Caenorhabditis elegans: one gene and its partners. The protein of the gene in region 4 interacts with the protein of the main gene of each other region in a pairwise test. Each region holds a gene or a part of one and is shown on either strand. Other genes may lie near its edges.

What was found.
Region 1: the proteins of par-5 (region 4) and par-3 interact in a two-hybrid assay, tested with the Caenorhabditis elegans proteins (one study listed by BioGRID).
Region 2: the proteins of par-5 (region 4) and let-99 interact in a two-hybrid assay, tested with the Caenorhabditis elegans proteins (one study listed by BioGRID).
Region 3: the proteins of par-5 (region 4) and sir-2.1 interact in binary tests that used the Caenorhabditis elegans proteins (3 or more experiments, as listed by UniProt).

Annotation. Positions count from the first base shown.
Region 1 is NC_003281.10:5,662,379-5,667,267, reverse strand, and holds the start of par-3 (PDZ domain-containing protein), read right to left. Parts: upstream 3,036-4,889; 5' UTR 2,965-3,035; intron 2,907-2,964; 5' UTR 2,897-2,906; coding exon 2,729-2,896; intron 2,323-2,728; coding exon 2,233-2,322; intron 2,180-2,232; coding exon 2,117-2,179; intron 1-2,116. UniProt on the Caenorhabditis elegans protein: In cooperation with pkc-3, required for establishing cell polarity and regulating spindle orientation in the early embryo. Localization is crucial for recruiting par-6 and pkc-3 to the peripheral apical cortex and restricting par-2 to basolateral surfaces.
Region 2 is NC_003282.8:12,565,946-12,571,174, forward strand, and holds let-99 (Protein let-99), read left to right. Parts: upstream 1-1,896; 5' UTR 1,897-1,910; coding exon 1,911-1,955; intron 1,956-2,005; coding exon 2,006-2,358; intron 2,359-2,405; coding exon 2,406-3,595; intron 3,596-3,653; coding exon 3,654-3,838; intron 3,839-4,178; coding exon 4,179-4,502; 3' UTR 4,503-4,677; downstream 4,678-5,229. Other genes in the region: eak-7 (MTOR-associated protein MEAK7), read right to left, coding at 1-36; hsb-1 (Heat shock factor-binding protein 1), read right to left, coding at 971-1,132, 1,187-1,267; K08E7.4 (uncharacterized protein), read right to left, coding at 4,761-4,796, 4,844-5,047, 5,097-5,108. UniProt on the Caenorhabditis elegans protein: Required for the proper orientation of spindles after the establishment of polarity. May play a role in interactions between the astral microtubules and the cortical cytoskeleton. Required for asymmetric forces on nuclei and spindles.
Region 3 is NC_003282.8:10,362,776-10,367,940, forward strand, and holds sir-2.1 (NAD-dependent protein deacetylase sir-2.1), read right to left. Parts: upstream 3,455-5,165; 5' UTR 3,414-3,454; coding exon 3,360-3,413; intron 3,296-3,359; coding exon 3,146-3,295; intron 3,075-3,145; coding exon 2,946-3,074; intron 2,890-2,945; coding exon 2,605-2,889; intron 2,151-2,604; coding exon 1,269-2,150; intron 1,181-1,268; coding exon 986-1,180; intron 840-985; coding exon 711-839; 3' UTR 543-710; downstream 1-542. Other genes in the region: ugt-59 (glucuronosyltransferase), read left to right, coding at 316-541; pges-2 (Prostaglandin E synthase 2), read right to left, coding at 3,737-3,889, 3,938-4,052, 4,096-4,382, 4,432-4,584, 4,632-4,730, 4,779-5,015. UniProt on the Caenorhabditis elegans protein: NAD-dependent deacetylase. Involved in metabolism, apoptosis, response to oxidative stress, response to DNA damage, and determination of lifespan.
Region 4 is NC_003282.8:11,820,000-11,823,862, forward strand, and holds par-5 (14-3-3-like protein 1), read right to left. Parts: upstream 1,919-3,863; 5' UTR 1,899-1,918; coding exon 1,809-1,898; intron 1,761-1,808; coding exon 1,590-1,760; intron 1,525-1,589; coding exon 1,333-1,524; intron 1,286-1,332; coding exon 992-1,285; intron 890-991; 3' UTR 826-889; intron 782-825; 3' UTR 507-781; downstream 1-506. Other genes in the region: M117.3 (14-3-3 domain-containing protein), read left to right, coding at 3,517-3,603, 3,649-3,863. UniProt on the Caenorhabditis elegans protein: Required to modulate lifespan, in concert with hcf-1, acting redundantly with 14-3-3-like protein ftt-2.

The DNA of each region.
Region 1 (4,889 bases), on a different chromosome or scaffold from region 4:
CATATCATTTATGTGTGCTCTTCGCTCCAAGACCCCCCAACAAGTAAGCCACGGTGGGGTTGCGCAAGGGCATCAAGAAGAGGAGCGGCTGAGAAAAAATGACGACAATCATCAGATCGAACGACAAATAGAAACAGAAACACTCGGAAGAGAAGGGAAGAGAGATAGAAAGGGGAAGATGTCTATATACACATCATTCCTAACCATTTCTTCTTATCTTCTCAATAGTTGGTAAAATGTCCATGATATTTGTTCTCGTCGCGAACAACAACAACACAAGCTGTTTATCAGTAAAGAAAAATACAAAAACCACCCGAAAAAAAGCTGCTTTCAGAACAGATGATTCGTAGTGGCAGCGGAGGATGGCGATAACATGAGATATGAGTGTTATGACATTGCATGTAGAATAGGGGGTGCTTTATTTCACGATGATGGCGAGGAGAGAGAGATAGAGATAGATGAACAACTTTAAGTGCTGCCAATTCACATGTTCTGGAGCTATTCGGAGGCCTTTGGAGTCAAATACAATAAGTTTGAAAGGAACAATAATTCAAGGTTTTCACATCACAATTTTCATTTTTCAACTGAAATTCAAAACTTCCACAATTATGAATAACGCCAAAGTTGTTCACAATTTTTGAATTGAAATTCAAAACCGAACAAAAACATTCCAAGGTGACTCACCATATTTTTTTAGTCACACGAAAACTTTGAGTTCTGTTCAATTTTCTTTTCGGCTGGGACTAAACACAGCTTTACATGTTACATGACCATAAAAACTGGATCAAATTAGTAAATGGAAAATTTATAAAGTCTGATACGGCTGAAAAAAAAACTCCTGCCTTTGAACCGTGCTCATCGTAATATCAAAAGTGTAGGCGGCGGGTTTAAAACTGGCGCCCAACTTCCTAACAAAACACTAATTTCTGCAATTGACTCACACTTTCTACTCGTACTCCTATTACACAACGTCCAACTATACATTCCATTTGATTAATTTCAAGTTGGTTGTTGCTGCTGATAATGATTATATCGTCCTCAACGTCAAATAAATCTAAATCAACAAAACTGAGAGAGAGAGAGAGAGAGAGATAACAAATCTTAAGCCTTCGAATAAATTCTTATCAGATTTATTTAGATCAACTGCCTGCCTACAGCGGAAAACTTAATTTACTGCGAAACGAATGCTACAACCTGCGCGAACAGGAAGCATGATGATCGACGACGATGATGATGAGGGGGAAGAGATTCGTACAAAATCCGCCATGAAGTGAACATGGTGAGAGACCAATGCATGTTATATAAACAAAAATCTACCAAGCGCGTCGAAATCAATCCGTTTATTGCAAATTGCAAAATCCAATCGGGACGAGGCGACGGCCTCCGGAATTTCCATGCCGCACAGCGTACGCCGATTAAAGTCAAATTCGACCAGAATCCATTTTGGAAATTAATCCCTCTTTGGCTAGGATTCGCTAGTTATGGTTGGTGGTCCAAGAGGAGAAAATTGCCTTCAATTTGTAGAGATTTTCAAGAAAATGAAGCGATCATTGGATATTCAATCAAGATAAATGTTTTACTGCTTAGTAAATATAAATTGGGATGATAACCACTAAGTCTTAATGTTTAAAGTGAGAAGATCAGGAGTAACTAAATAAAAATCCAAGAGCACCACAGTTCAACTCCACAAAATAGTAAAACTTTTTGACAGTCACTTATGAGAGAGAATGAAGAAATATCTATTATTTACAGTGTTGTGTGCCAACAACACACTGTAACACTGTCTGCGTCTCTTCCAAACTTTCTTTTTCTCCAAAGCGGAAAAGGAAGGGGATTATTTGGTGAAAATGAACAGAGAAATGGTATTCAACACATCCTCATCGGTGCGGCCTTGTTCTCAGCCGAATTAACCTCTCCGAGAAAACGAAAGGGGGCTGCTGCTTCTTCGGGAATGGAATAATATTGGAAGAGAATAAGACGAAGATAAAATTGCGTGCTTCTTGTTGATTTTCCTTTCATTATTCCCGACTGACTGTATTCATGGGAAAATTTGGGATACGCTTTTTTGCCTCCAAAATGACCTTTTTTCTGCAAATTTTTGGAGAAAAAAAATTACCATTCCCCTCGCTTTTTTGTACCGAAGAAGTGCTGCGTCTGCTAGTTGACCAACTGTCTGATCCTGAACAAGAAAAATATTAAAAAATTGATTGAACATTTGAAAAAAAAGCTCACCGATTCCTTCCATGGTACCACAATTTTCATTCGTCCAAATTGAACAGTGACTCGGCGAGTTCCATTCAGTGGAAGCGATTGATATTGGCTCTGAAAAATTAAAATATTGCTTATAATTATAAATTACAACCAAGGTTTCAAATATTCAATGGATTTCACATTTTTTAAAGTAAAAAATAATTCCAGATTTCGGTGTTATAATCGAAAAAGCCAGAAATTTCAAATTTGAAAAGGATCTTAAACTTTCCAACTCAAAAATAGAATGTGTACAAAATTCGGATTTTGACTTAAAAATTTGAATTTACAAAATCATTTTAAAATGCGCATTTTTGCAGTATGAAAATTTGCAGAAATGGAATTCTCAGCAGTTCAAGCATTTTTTTGAAACAAAAATCGGGTAGAACTGTTGACAGTTTGAATTGAAGATTTCTGAAGCGTGAATGAAAGATAATTCAAGATTTTTTCTCCAATTTTTAAGAAAAAAAAACTTCCGCACTCTATCAAGTGTAGATATTGAGGAATTCGCGTAACCACTCGCAATTCCGTACTGTTGCATTCGTTTTTTCAGTGTCGATTCACCCTCGTCGCTGCTTTTACAGCTTCCCGATGGTTCGCCACCTTCCGGACACGATGTGCTAGATGATGACGTGGATGAAGCCGACATGATGATCGATCTGAAAATGAGCAGATATAAAGAAAAATTAAATGAAATGAAAAGAAGTTTTAACAAACCAATCAACGTTTCTCCTCCCGAGAGGCTCTCTCGTTTCGCACCTATTTGCTCTGCGAGACCTTTTCTATCTGCAAGAAAATATATATTAGAGTGATAAGAAAATGATTGGTGTGTCTGTGAAGTAAGTAACAGTAAGAGAGAAAGAGCAAATGATTTAGTGTGCTCAGCGATGGAAAAAAGTTTGAATTTAGCGGGAAAACATTAAAATCTTAAAAATTTGTCCGAATTGCCCGCGCCAATTTTAAAAGGATACAAAAATTAGCTTTTTAGTGATTTTATTCTTGAGTTTTCAAATCTGTAATACAAAAAATTCAGCGTTTTAAGTTTTGTTTTTGCGCAGACAAATTCAGCTCGAAAAACAATATTCTGAAAAAAATCGGCCCGATTTCCGATTTCAATCGGATTTTTTCGTGTTTTCAAGATCTGAATAGCTTAATTGATCTTCTGGACGAGAATTAGTTGACGGAATGAGAAAAAACTCAAAATATCGCACATAAATCAATAGACAATCTAAAAATTTGAAGTTTTTGCAGATTTTAATTTTCAAAAAAAATTTCCCGCCATGCGATAGGTCTCGCCGCGAATGCGTACCGTACCCATCTGTTCCGAAAAATGATTACTGTATTTCTCAATTTCACAAGTCTACAAATTTTTTTAAATTTTATTTAAGAAAAAGCGGCCTTAAAACTGAATTCGCAGTCATCGCATTGCTCATCGCATAGCTAAATAATAAATGAATTTTTGATATCAAAACAAACAATGAAACCTTTGCTGGGAAAATGGGAGGACATTTCTGGAAGACAGAACGGGAGGAAGGTGGTTATCCAATTACATTTTTGGATTCTCTCTACTCTATTTTCTCTCTCAGTGCTCACCAAGGATTTCCAAATGTGCCTATTTTATTTCCACTTGGGCAATTTGTCAAGTGGAGAAGTCACACAGAGGATCCTCTAGAGAAGATGATGATCCATTATAATGAGCATGTTGGAGGAGACGAGTTTTTGGAAGAACACCGAGTTGTGCTGGGATGGATTTGTAAAAAAACAGGAAAGACTTGAAAATAAATTGCTCTACTTTTTGGGGAAAATTCAATTTTTCTTGGATTCGGAAAACCTTATTGTCGGTTTGTGATTTAAAATCAGACGCGGAATTTTGCGTTTTTCCAAAAATACGATACGAAAATGTTTTGTTAAATACATATATGTGGGGAACGCTATGAAAATTCAATGAAAATTCTTGAGCAACGAAAGTTTGAAATTACAGTACTCCTTAAAGGCGCAACCCTTTTCGCATTTAACAACAGTTTGTCGTGTCGAGACCGGGTACCGTATTTTCGGCGTAAAATAAACTAAAACCGACTATAGGTCACATATTGTGTACCATTACACTTTCTGATTGGCATTTTCCTAATGTAAAATGTCAAAAAAGAGAAGGTTGAGTCAGTGCGCACCAGCTGTATTGCACAAGAGTTAGAGAGCCATCACCTCATTGCATATGCCAACTTGACGCCACGACACACATATTTCATGAGATGGATTGGAGAAGCAAAATGACAAATTATAGTCGTGTCAATAAGTTATATGAAGTGGGTGCTGTCCCGACTATTAGTTGAGCTGGCAAACGACGAAATGAACAGAGATTGGCGCAGCGGTGCGCGATTGGATATTAGAAAAACAGTGAGTTACCAGCGGAGCTCGCGCGGCTTGTCAAATGCTCGGAGAGCCTGAATGGAAAAGCTCAAACTGAACAATCAACTTTTTGCACTTTTCTACGATTGCTTTTCCGAAAGTTTAAAAATCTACAAGAAAGATATTTTTAATTGCCTTTTATCGAAAAAAAAAGAGCAGGCGAGGTATTGCCATCGACGTTCATACCTCAACTTAATGTCAATGAGACTCATAGGTCCGATTGACCGAGACACTAT
Region 2 (5,229 bases), 750 kb from region 4:
TTTTAGATCTTTTCGCTTCGAATTTTGAGCTCCCATTTCTGAAATTATATGTTTTTTATCTGAAAATCCGGATGCGAAATAGTTAGTAAAAACTGTGAGAAATCAACATTTAGTATGAGAAAAAATTCAAGGGAAGAAGAAGAAAAAGTAAGATGAATAGTTTCATATTGAAAATTTTTTTTAAAAATGCACAAAAATTTGAATTTTTGGCAAAATTTGTGTTTTCACATATAAATAAAATAATTCCGAAAATCGTAATAAAATGCAACAAAAGTTATTGAATAAGAGATTAAAAGCAGGAGGCACAACATAGTAGTCATGAATCCTCTCAACACGTGCATAATCAGTAGAAAAAGAAGAAGAAGAAGACGTGAAAAGAGTATATGTATGTAGGAGAGACGCAGAGAAGCACACAAAACGAATTGGAATTATGATGATGATGAAGAAGGAAGCGACGATGATTCATTTGGGAAGAGTGTAGAGCTGGAAAAAATAGAAATTGAAGAGAGATTAGTTATTAATAATCTCTACAAATTGATTTTTTAGTGGAAATTTGGCATCTTTCAGACCATTTTTGAGCTCTTCGGCGAATTTTTCAGCCAAAATTAATAGGTGAAGTTCTATATTTTTATACTAATTTTTAATGATAAAGTCTTGGAATAACGGTGCAATCGGCCTGATTACCACGTGGTAAATCGATTGGAAAGGCGCTAGGAAATCTAAATATATTTCAAACTAAAGTTAAGAAGGAATAAAAGGATTGACTTCATACATGAAAATTATAAAATATTCGGCCAAAGAGCGTTTTTTACTGTATTTCTAATTGGGTCCCACGGCCCATATTATTGTTTTTTTTTGAAATTTCAAAGTCGACATCAAAAACAACACTGTTTTTCAAAAATAACGAGTGGTCAAAACATCGACCGAAATTTTTGAGAATGTTTCCCATTTTTCTCATTCCGTACCAATCTTATTGAGCGCTTGGCGGATGTTCAACTTGGTTCGATTGCAGCAAATCGTTGATATTCTTCTCCAAATCATCGATTCTCGTTGTCATATCATCGATTCGCCGAATAATCTGATCCGACATGTGCTGGAATCGATCCTGTGTCTGTTGCAGAACTCCTTGTATCTGAGTTTTAGGATTTTTTAGAAAATTGACAATTTTTTTCAAGTATTTACGTACCAACGACGTCAAATCATTCATATTTCCATCGGCTGGAGCGTCGAGTTGAGCGGTTGGTGTGGTAGACTTCTCATCGGACATTTTGAACTGAAAATCTGTAAAAATACGATAAAAATCACAAAGTTTAATCAGTTTTTAAAGAAAATTTGATGAAAAATCAATTAAAACTGGTGAGAATCCAGTACCAGGCAACTAGCCGTCATCTCACAAACAGTGGAACACACAAAAGTACGGGAACAACAACACGAGAGAAAGTACGTCGAAGTGAGAGACGACAGAGAAAAAGAGGGCGGCGAGAGAGTGAAAGAGACGCAGAGAAGGAGTCATTGGAGAAGGACAGATGGTGTAAACGGCGAAAAGAGCAGAATAAGATGATTTGTTTTATGTAAAATAGTGTGGATTTCGAGGAAAATATAATTATTAGAAACACTTTGAGAAAAAAAAAACATCTGAATCGAGGAATTTTTAATTAAAAAGAGAAATTTTCAAAGCAGAATGGGTTACTGTAGCTAATAAGTTGTGTGACAAGTCGTGTTTTCGTGTGTTTGGTCCGTAAACAAAACTTCGGCGCCAAAACTTCACTCGTTTCAGCAATTTTTAGGAAGTTTCCAGAAATTTTTCCTCATTCTTGCTTTTTTTCGTGATGAAATCTCGTTTTCTTTTAAGAAGTTCTTAAATTTATCAATAAACCATCAAAATTCAAGTTTTAGGCCGTCTTGCCGTGATGTCTGCCGACTACTCATCGGAGAAGTTCAAGGCGACGCATCTGGTATTAAAATGTTTCACATTTGTCTTTTGAAATTTTATTCTGATTTTCAGTTCGACGAAATTCTATGGCATTTTCGTTCAAACTTATCACTCAAAACGAACAGAAGAGGATTGGCCACTGCGGAAAACAGTTTCAGCGGGAAAGAAGCTGTGGATTTTCTGATGATTGAAATGCCACGAATCATCCCTAACAATGTTCCGGAACGAGACAAGATGCAGAAGTTCCTGGAGTTCATGATGGACATGAACGTGATTTCAGAAGCCTTCCCGAAGAAAGTCAAGCAAAGGAGGCCATTCAGTGAATCGAGAATATATTTGTTCATGAAGACTTTGGATGAGTTGAAGCATCCCAAGCCCCGATCACGTCGATCAGCGTCTTTCAGTGGTGCTCGCAAAAGTGCAAAGTATGCCAAATAATCATTTTAAACTGTGCTATAAAATATATTTCCAGAGTTGCTCAACCTGCCTCTCCTGCCGCGACAATGCACCGGCCACCAAAGGCAAGGCTCCCACGAAGATTATCGCGATCTAATGGCAACATTGACAAAGCAGGCATCGATAATTCTTCAGGCGGCGTTGAGAATCACGGTTTCGATGATCATAAAGACGATGAAATCCCGAAGAAACAACGAACTCCGAAGATTTTGAACAGATCACTTGAAAGTATCTGTACAGAAGAATATACTGAAAAACGAGAAGTTTCTGAGATGAAAGAGAAGGTTTATGATTGGTTACCGTTTTTCAAATCAAGACGAAATCACACGAAAGTCAATCAACCAACCCGTCGTTCAGCATCCCTTGATCGAAATCATTGTGTTTTGGAACAAGAAAAAGCTGAAGCTGCTCTTCGTAGTCAGAAAGTAACCACTCCGCCAATTCGAGAAGCCCCGAAAGACGTCGTCTTTATGCATCCACAAGGACCGTTGCCTGCAGTTCCTAGCAGATATCAAAATCATCGGACAAGCATCGCAGGATCAAATCCAGCATTGTTATCGCGTGGAAGAATGTACGAATCCATCATGAGAAGATCGTCGGTTGTTCCAGTTGCAGACTCTGTCCAGGCAAACAACGAATGCTCATTTTGGAAAACAGAGCTGCTTGGACGATTGGAACAAATTTACGATCGCACTCTTCCCTGTGAATGGGCATCTAAAGTCGATGGATACGATATTCAGTGGAACATGATTGAAATAGATCATGCTGATGGAATCGTCAAATCGAGATGTCAGGGACTGCAGCCCGATTATCCCCAAACTGTTATTCAATTCATGGATTATCTTGTTCGATATCCCTTCGTCACGCATAAAAAAATGGACACAGGGTTGGAATACAACGTCAATCGGATTTTCATAACTCTAGTCAATCGTCTCGAAGACTTGAATGCTCCTCTTCAATTCGATGAATGCTCTCTTATTGTTAATCTCCTCTGCAAAATCGATAGCTTCGCGGCAATGCTTGACAATGGGCCTGCAAGGCGATGGTCGAAAGTGATGATTTCTTCGTCTGCGTCTAGTATTGAGGAGGCTGGATTGATGGTCGATGGATTCTCCCGTGATCTTCCAGCATGCGGAATTCGAGCTTCAAAGTATCGACGACGTGCGTTATCACCATTTGATAATAGAGTGAATTTGGAAATACAAGGTAAAGAATTTTATTTTTATTACAGTTTCACGATTTTTACTTAAAATTATAATTTCAGACGAAAAATCCTACGAAATCCGAGAGCAATGGTTGATCGAAGCAATTCAATTGGTACTTCTTTCGCTTCCAACTTCACGACGTCGGAAACTTCACAAATTTGTTACATTCATTCAATCGATCGAAACGAATGCAGTTTTCGACCTCGCTGATCCTTCTAACGGATCTTCCAACAATCGGGAAGCGGTAAGGAGGGGATAATTTTGCAAGAAAACTACTGTAACCGGTCTCGACACGACAACTTTTTGTTAGATAAGAAAATGTGTGCGCCCTCAAGGAGTACTGTAATTTCAAACTCTCATTTCTGCCGAATTTTTATGGATTTTAATTAGTTATTTGATAAAAAAAAATATTTATCAATTTAGCACTACAAAATTAACACCTATATTTCAACAATTAAAATTCTGCAGAAATCTTCATTCGTTTCATTCGACAAAAGAAAAATTTGTCGCCTCGAGACCGGTACCGTACTTTTGTCGCGAACTTTTGCGTCTGCGTAATATCAATTTTAAATTTTCGATTTCAGGCAATCATCGGACTCTGGACAGGTGTTTGTAGTAAATGCCGAAAGCAACAAGGAATGCTGATAACCGCTGTCCTCCTCGCAAACTTTCAATCTCTTTTTGCAGTACCTGTTGAATTTATCGAACAGGTCAAACGATTGGAATGTGAAGAAAAGGACAGATATAGTGGTCCTCGGTACGCAAAGATCACCAGAAGTCGAAATGATTGGCAACCACCAGTTCCGGATAAACCGCAAGCATCTCCGGCAGTTTTTAAGAAACCACTAAGAGAAGTGGCATGTGAGAAAACGAAGAAAGGATTGTTCACAAGATTGCTGCGTAAATAAATCTAAAAATCTTCGCCCCATGTATATATTCAATATATTATTTATTTTGTTCCATTCCTCCCCGCTCACCGAATTCTTGTGTCATTATCATCATTTTTCTAAATGTTATTTTACAATTCTGGTTGAATTGAAATTCTCGATGTTCGTTTTGTTCCATAAATTTTGACGATGATTTATCTATATGTATTTATTTTCTTCTATGCTTTAATAACACAGAAAAGGGGGAATTTCAAAAAATTTATTAGGATACATTGAGGACTATTGTGGGATGGCGAGCTCCTCGTAGTTGCCCTCCTAAAAACGTTCGTTTTGTCTTTTAAAATATGCCAAAAATAACTCACATCTTCTTTCTTTGGAGCCACTGGTTCATCCTTCTTTGACGATGGAACGTCTTGTTTCTTCGAATCGAATGAGTCGCTTTTTCCGACTCCTCCAGCAGGTGCTGCCATAAGTTTAGCGACCGGTTTTGGAGCCACTGTTTTCTTCTTGCTCCCACAATGGACCAGCACAAATGGCAAGATATTGAGAGTTAATAGCAAAATGATCTGGAAGCGAGAGGTTTGGAAAATATCAGAATCCTGACAGAAAACTCACTTGCGAGATCATTATTCTTTTTTCGCTTCCGAGAGGTTTTGAATCTTGTAAAGTGAGAAAATATGAATTTTGTAGATTTTCGGAGGCTTTATATATGAGAAATTGTAAGGGGAAGAAATGTTCACGGAAATTC
Region 3 (5,165 bases), 1.5 Mb from region 4:
GCTTTCACTTTAAAATACTCAGACTGGTCCCAAATACCAAGATACCACAAAACTACAACGAAATGAATGCATTAAATTTGAAAAAATATTGATGATTTTAGCGATTTTTGAACTTTCTAATCTCATTATTCTATCAAAAATTGGAAACAGGAGTCAAAACCAAACAAATTGCGGCACGGAGAAATGGGCGTGGTTTTTTTTTAAACCAGTCTGAGTATTACAAAGTTTGTTTAAAGTTAAATTAACATTGACGGTATTCCAATTTTAAATATTCTAATGCTAATAATGTACTTCGATCAACTAATGTTGTTTCAGATATACCCAAAATTGCGAAAAATTCTCCCGAATGTTTTCTGATACTCCAATTCCACACGAAGAACTTATTGAATGGAGGATTCGACAAGCAGCTAAGCCATCAAGAAAAGCTTTTGCAAAACATCTTCGACCCAAAGAGCCCGATTTTTCATATTTAAAACTTGGTTTTCTCATTATTCCAGCCATGATACTCTACGCAAAACATGGATTTTCAATATGGACATAATAGAATGAAATTTTTTAATTTTATTTTGATGTTTGCAAAGAATTGAAAAACAATTTAAAGTTTTAAAAGTTTAAACACACAATAACAGATGAAAACGCGTTTTTCAATGGGATTTGGTGTAAAATTGAGAACACAAGAGAAGGAAAATTGAAATTTTTTAACATGAGATTCAGATACGCATTTCTTCACACAAATGCGAGAATGTTTCAGGATCAATCGTTTCAGATAGTTCATACTGAAAATCTCCATCACATGAATCGGCTCGTTGCAAGTCCAGATGTATCGTGTTTTTTCGATCCTGTAATTAATAATTTATAGATAGGTTTTCGCGGAAATGGCAGAAGTAGTGTTTAAAATTTCAAAAACTGTTCTGCAGCTTTACATTTTCAATTTTTCTTTGACACTTTTAAGAGCACCTCAAGAAAGTTTTTATGATGAACTAACCTCGTCAGATAGTACAAAGTCATCTAGCGATTGTGCTCTAGATAATTGATTTGCTTCTGAATCGGCATTTGATGAGCAAGACGAACCACACGAACTTTCGCAATGTGTCTCGTGATGAACATCACGAACCAGTTTCAATGTTTCTAGATCAAATGAGCATTCGGCTCCAGGAAAGACGGTTTGATGAGCAGAAATCTGAAGAAAAAATTATTAATTGTAAACTGGTAGGGTTGTTTAGAAATATTTTCTAACTTTTAACTTTTTAATTTTCAAAACCACTCACCGCGACACACTTATTGTCATGGAGCATCTCAGTAATGCTCAGCAGCCTTGGATGCTTTATTTTCTTGAGAATATCGTCCGAATTCCGTGTATCATCGTCATCTTCTGACTTATGTTTTTGTATTTCTTGGAAATTATTCTTCTCGGAATCCATCGAATCGTCAGCCACCGACATTCTTGGTTTCTTCAATGTTGGCTCATCACTCGAATCATCATTTCTTTTCTCTTTCATACAAATATTCAAAAAGTCTTCCTGTGAAATCAACTGTCGTTTGTTTTGTGAAGGCTTTTGTGATTTCGTTTTTCCTTGTTGTTCCATAATCGAATCATAAGATGTAATCAGTTCAGTGAAGGAGCCTCCAAGACTGAAACAGATATCTCTGATGATGTCATCACAATTTCCGAGCAATTCAATATCTGCATTATAATGTGGGAGGGATTCTCTGTTGATTAGAATTTGTGGAACATTCTTATCAACACAATGTGGAATTAATGCAACTGGTCGAACTTTGAGAGAAGATCCAATAACTACAATGAGATCTACTTTATGCTTGTCTTCTGTAACATGTTGATGAAATTCTCTTCCGAGATCCTCTCCAAAGAATACAATATTCGGTTTGATCACTCCTTCGCAACGTTTGCAATGGGCAACACGCATAGCAAGAACTTCCTCACGAATCTCATTCCCATCATATTTTTGTCCACAACGTGTACATGTACATTTCGAAAAGGATCCATGACATTCCACAACTCTTTTAATTCCAGTCTGATGCTCTAATGTATCGATATTTTGAGTGTAATTTCGAAGAAGACGACCAGAAGTTTCAAGCTCTTTGATAAATCGATGTGATACAGATGGTACGAACTGTCCTGGGAAGATTTCCTGAAATATTTAATTTTTTTTTGGATATTGAAATTTTTGAGACAGCGTCGCTGCAGCGAGTTCAATTGGGATTTACTAGAGAAATGGAACGTTAGAGGAGAATAGAGTTTGTGGGGTTTTCTTTTAAAATTAAATAGAACTGTCTCGAAACAAACAAATATCATAAATAATGAGACTTCTCAAAAAAGTTCGAACAAATTTTTCTGGCGGCTGAGAATATCGAAAAGAGAGAGCCAAATTTTGCTAAAATTTAAAATTTCGCCAATTTCAGATTTTAGCAAAATGTGGCTCCTTTTTTCCGATATTCTGGCCCGCCATAAAGTGTTCGAAAATTTTTTGAAAAGTCTCATTGTGAAAAAAAATCGGGCTAATTTTGGTATATTTAAGCAAAAATTGGCAAACTAAACTTATTGATCTTATTAGCTTAAACACAGTAAAAGGAAAAATAACCTACTCTCGCAAAATTGTAGAACGGAGCAGGATTTTCTCGGAAGTAACGAATATCGAACATTGCTGTCGGATCAGGAAGATCGGGAAACTCGCTCCGAAGTCGTGCATAAATACCATCTTTACTTCGAAAATCTGGAATTCCACAGGATACTGACACTCCAGCGCCAGTCAACACAAGAATATGTTTCTTTGTTTTAAATAGTTCGACTGCATCTGCTAGTGAGTTGTAGTTTGTGAGTTTCTGCCTTACAGGAGCACGTTCTAGAAGATCGCTTAATATGGCGAAATGCTGAAAATTGGTTTTTTTTTCAGGAAATTGTCAATTTTAATTTTTTTTTTAAGTACCGCGTTCTCTGACATTGTTGCAATTCGTGATGCATTAAAATCAGGAAAAATTTGTTGAATAATTTGTAATGGAGTGGCACCATCATCAAGAAGTCTTTGAGCACGACGAAGATTCGACATCATTTCGTCCTGAAAAATATTAATTTAGAAACATTTTAATCTCCTTGGGAATTTATCTTCATTTTTTGGCGAAAACTCACATTATTTTGCCAAGACTCTGAACTGACACTGGTTGTACTTTCTGTTCTTTGTCTACTCGAATCTGTGTTTGTTTCGGGTGCATCGGAAATATCTGTTTCTTGTGTAATGTGCATAGAACCGATTTCTGGATTTTCCTCCGTTATTTCTTGCTGAAACATTTTACGTTAGGTTGTTAGTAAGGAAATTTTAAAAAAATCTAATAAATTAACTCACCACTTCCCCGTGTGTGACCGCAACTTCTGAATCGTTGCCACTATCACGTGACATCGTTTATCGATATGATTAATTTTATTAAAAGTAGACCAGAACTGAATACGAAAATCAATTCAAAAGTGAACCAACTGCGTCAACGGGAGATACCAAATGCGCGTCAACAAACGCTGCATGGCGCAAACTGCCGTCTTCATGAATGCAGAGTAAAACATGGTTTATTATGAGGGAAAAATGTAGAATTTTAACTAAAATGAGATCCTAGCTGGTAAAACATTGAATTGATTCAATAAGACAAATAGGATGAGAAAGATAACAAAAACACAGCAAACAATAAGGCACTAAATCAAGGACTAGTCTATATTAACAATTTCAATCTTTTATTTTTGACTTCTTGATTCCAATGCTTTTCTTCCATCGTGGTTTTTGACAAGTGCATCCATTTTTCGCCACCATTCAGCAATTTTTTCTTCTAAAATAACTTCTTTGAACGCTGAGCATCCATAGAAAGAATTCATAGCTCCATATAATGACTGAAAATATATCAGATTGTAAATCCTTCTCCAAAAAATCAAACCAACCAGATCAGCTAGATTCGGTTCATCTCCTCCTAAAAACTGTCTATTTGGTCCAATTGCTGCCATCCAGTCACGACAAGCCTTTCTCAATTCTTCTCGTTCATCATTGATGTTGTGCCTTTAATATCAGAAATCATGATATAAACTTCTAACTAACTTACTTTTTCTTCAATGTTTTTGAAAGTAAAAACATTGCTGCTGCACCCACGTATACCGCTAGAACTCTCTCCCAGGCTGGAAAAGTACGATGCCAGTCGCCAACTTGTTCGAACCAACGGAATGTCTCGACAGACTCATTCCAATTACGATATACATTAGGAGAAATAAGATGGATGAACCAATTGTCCACCCATTCTCTCCATTCCCGCTCTTCTCTGGCAGAAGCCATATTTGCGTCCCCGTCTACTTTTCCCTTCATAACGAAGAATTTGTTAGGGTAGTTGAGAACCTGAATCAGCAAGGATGTTTTAAAATTGCAGAGTAATTCAAAAACCCACTGGCTTTCCTTTCTCGTTTGTTGAATCAACTGCTGGATACATTTGTATTATCTGGTCGAGTGACTGATCGGGTCTTTGAAGATATGTTGCCAATGTGGAAATAATCAAAGTAGACTCGGTCATAGTTGTCTCGCCACTCCTGAGAATTGGAACCTGAAAGAAAATAGATAAAACAACCGGAAATGTGAATGAAAACTTACTTTTTTATAAGTTGTGCTAAACTTGATCTGTGATCTAGTGACTGGATTTACTTCTACAACCTCATAGGAGAATCCGTGATAATCTAAGAAGGCTCGAACCTGTATTTTTGATTAATAGTTTTCATACTTCACACAAGAGTAACGCACCTTGCAACAGAACGGGCAAGTCTCGTATTGATACAATCGGAGCTTCAAGTTTGACTTATCCAGGTGATTAATAACTTTTCGACTGAGGAGGACATCATTCTGCACTTTCTCGGGTTGCTGAACTTGAATTGGGCATGTTCTGAGTTTTGCTGTTTGGATATCGTCCAGCTTTGATCCTCCCCACGAGAATCCAGCCAAAGAAGCAATCTGGACTGTCCGTACACCAAAAAAACGCATCTGAAAACTAAAAAATGAATTTTCAGTTCATTAAAAGAAAACGGGCGGAAAAACACAACGGATCGGTTACATTCATACAAATTTCACTGAAAAAACGCAAGAAATGCGCTTTTTCTCGCGAGAAACCGTTTTCCACTACGGGGAATATCA
Region 4 (3,863 bases):
CAATCGGTCTCGTCATGATCTGTGAAAACACATGAAGTCTCCAGAATTAAGTTTTTTTCCGAAAATTATATTGCCCAGGAGCGAAATTTTGAGCTTTTTGCGCCAAAAGTACGGTACTTAGTCTCGACACGTCTAATATTTGTTGAACGCAAAAAGGTGTGAGTCTTTAAAGAGTACTGTAATTTTAAACTTCTATTGCTGCGGAATTTTTATCGATGTTTCATAGTTTTTCGACAAAGAATATATTTATTTTCAAAAGAACACTCAAATGTTACCATAAAACACTTAATTTTTAACGAATCGTGGAAGAAACTATCAAAAAATTTTCGGCAGCTTAAAGGCGCACACTTTTTCACATTTCATTTAATTTTTCGTGTTGAGACCTTCTAAGAGGTTAATGCAAATGTTTTATCCTATTTATGCTCCTTCATCGAAATCTGAAAATAAATTCCATTCCATTACTCGAAAAACTCCTGGAAAGTTGTGATGAAATTCGGACAACCGGAAAAGTTCACCAAACATTTATGTTCAAAAAGATCTAAAAATAAAGATCGGGGATAATAAGAGAAAAATGGAAGATGGGGGTTCATTATACTTTACAGCACATAATAATCATAGAACAATACGCCATTTTAGGAATGACAATAGTGACGGAGTGAATTACAGCGAAATAGAGCATGAAGAGAATTATGGCTTGGAGATCTAGAGCACTTGAAGACCGAATTTTCTTTCATGATGCTATTGCGCAGTGTTGTATGGAGTATTGGTGAATACGTTAAGTCTAAAACAAAAACGGTGATTAGGCAACTCTCTCGGCTAACGTACCGGAAATGTTGGAGGATAACTGAAAGTTGAAGAGATGCGAGGAAAGAGAACGGAGTTCAGCTCTCTGAAAACCGAAACTATTTTTTCGAAGCAAGATTTGATGTGAAAGGAAAAGAGGAAAAAGGTCAGCTTTATATAATGGCAATAAAACATTTTGAAATCGTACTTAGTTTCCAGCTTCCTGGTTTCCCTCCTGCTCTTGATCTTCAGCTCCAACGTCAGATGTCCAGAGAGTGAGATTGTCACGTAGAAGTTGCATGATCAAGGTCGAGTCCTTGTACGAATCCTCGTTCAACGTGTCGAGCTCAGCAATAGCATCATCGAAAGCCTGTTTCGCGAGTTGGCAAGCGTGCTCTGGAGTGTTCAAGATCTCGTAGTAGAAGACAGAGAAGTTGAGGGCAAGTCCAAGGCGAATTGGGTGGGTTGGCTGCATCTTGTCCTTAGCGATATCAAGAGCCTCCTGAAAGTCATGCCATTTACATCAAGAATTTAGTTATTTTCAAATACCTGGTAAGCCTTCTGGGACTTCTCAACAACGGCAGCGCGATCCTCTGAAGCGACCTCGGCGAGGTATCTGTAGTAATCTCCTTTCATCTTGAGATAGAAGACCTTCGACTCAGCAGCTCCAGCCTTGACAATGAGGAACTCGTCGAGGAGCTTGAGCACATCTTGGCAGATGTCGTTGAGTTCTTGCTCAACCTGAAATAATGTAAATAAGTTACTAAAATTCTTGAAATTAATAAAATCTTGCTTGGTGTAGTTACCTTGACGCGGTATTCCTTGGCGAGTTGTTGCTTCTTCTCGGATCCCTCGGTCTTTTGCTCAATGGAAGAGATAACTCTCCACGATGAACGGCGAGCTCCGACGACGTTTTTGTAGGCAACAGAGAGAAGGTTACGCTCTTCGTTGGAAAGCTCCTGTCCCTGCTCGGTCACCTGAAAAATAGTAAATTTGAAACCTCCGTAAATGATGTTTTATCTTACTTTCTTCATGGCGGCAGCCATATCATCGTATCGCTCGGCTTGTTCGGCAAGCTTGGCGCGTTGAACGAGCTCTTCCACGGTATCGGACATTTTTTCAGTGAGCAAGTCTTCTGAAACAAAATTTATAATGAAATATTGAGAACGAAAAGAGAAGAACATAGGCGAGAGTAATAATCGAAACGGAGAGCCCTAGAACATTCGAAACAGCCCGCACGACGTTTGAAAGAAGAAAAATCGATGGACAGCAGTGCCGGCCGATGAGAGAGCGCGTGCCGCCGCCGTCGCATGACAACAACTAAAGTGGGCAACGCACACTCACTCAATTTGTGTCTGTCCGTCTTTTTCTCTGGCGCACACATTCGCTCCTCATATATAGCATTGTCTACACAAAAAATTTCAGATTTTTTGGGCATTTGATAAGAAAACACGGGAATAGAAGGATGAATGGCAGTGGTGACAACGGGCGCAGCAAGCACACTAATCTTTCGGTGAGCACGTTACACAAAACTCAGGAGGTTTCGTCAGGACTTTTACCTGAACAACGCAAAAAAATAATTTTCGAGAATTGCTAAATCGTGTTGGTGGGGATTAGGATATAATTAAAGAAAAAATCACTATTTTGGGCCAACATTTGAAAATCGAGGAAGAAATCAGAGGAAATGATAGCTTTTAGACAGAAAATTGAGGGCAAGAGGAGCATAAAAGCGAGAAGGATAATTTTACAAAAAAAAATTGTGATGAAATGAGCATTGAATCGTTGAATTCTAGAAGAAACCAGCAACAAATTCGCGGAAATTCCGCGGTTCGAATACGTTTTTTCGCGGGGCTTCTTTTTTCGCGGCGAAATATCGCGCAGAGGGAATAGCTTGCGCCTTTAAAGAAAATGGCGGTTCATTCGAAAAAAAAAGGCTCTGCGTGTTAAAACATGTTATGAAACGACAGAAATTTCTTTTTTTCTAGAAACATGAAATTGGAGAACAGTAATCGGTTGGAAGTTCTCCGACCGCCGTCGTTCAAAGCATTATCAGTGTAACAGTGAATGCAGTTTAAATTGATAAGTTTTCCATGGAGAATCGAAAAAATTGGTTGCAAAATATATTCTTTTTACAAAGAAGATTGTAAGCAATTTTTAAAAATTTTTGAAAAACGTTTAAACGAAAAATGCATATAATATACGGTTGAATGAAGAAAAAGAAAAGATCGAGCAGCGAAATGAGCGAATCTTTGGGTTTCTACATGAAATCTGACGGAAAATGAATATTTAAATGAATCTACACAAAAAGCGTGCACTGTTCAGCGGAGCATTATTGCGCGGGAACATTTAACGTTTCGAAAATGCCTCGAGTTCGCAAATGAACATCGCGATTTCAAGCTGAAATATTTATAAAATCGGGGAAGGTTTTTTTTAAAATTTGTTGACATCGGGGGATTGGCCACGCCCATAGAACCGTGCGGAGGTTGCAAAATTTGATCGTGGGCGTGGCCCGTCCCACAGATTGGGTTCCCCCGATCCGAATCCCTCGCCGCCGTTAATCGTCCGATTCGTCTGGTCTCAAGAATAGTAGTATTTGAATTGCCGCGAAACCGTACTCCACGCCACTATTCATCAAACTATATCAAACTATATATCAAACTATTTTTGAACTGCCCCGCCTGTTTGGCTTGAGACTATGCGCTAAATGATGAAACTAAGGCTCTCTTCGGTGGCATGGTCGCCGACCATTTTAGGTATCTGGTCCAATACGACGATATCAACAGAGAAGAGCATGCACACAAGTCGCGAATCGCTTATCAGGTATTTGAATAACTAAATTCTTGATGTAAATGAAATGACTTTCAGGAGGCTCTTGGTATCGCTAAGGACAAGATGCAGCCAACTCACCCAATTCGCCTTGGACTTGCCCTCAATGCAAGCGCCTTAAACTTCGATGTCCTGAATCTTCCCAAAGAAGCCAACGAAATTGCACAGAGTGCTCTTGATAGTGCTCATCGCGAATTGGAGAAGATGAAGAGCTCACTGGATTCGTACGATATCTCGAACTTGAAACGTGCTCG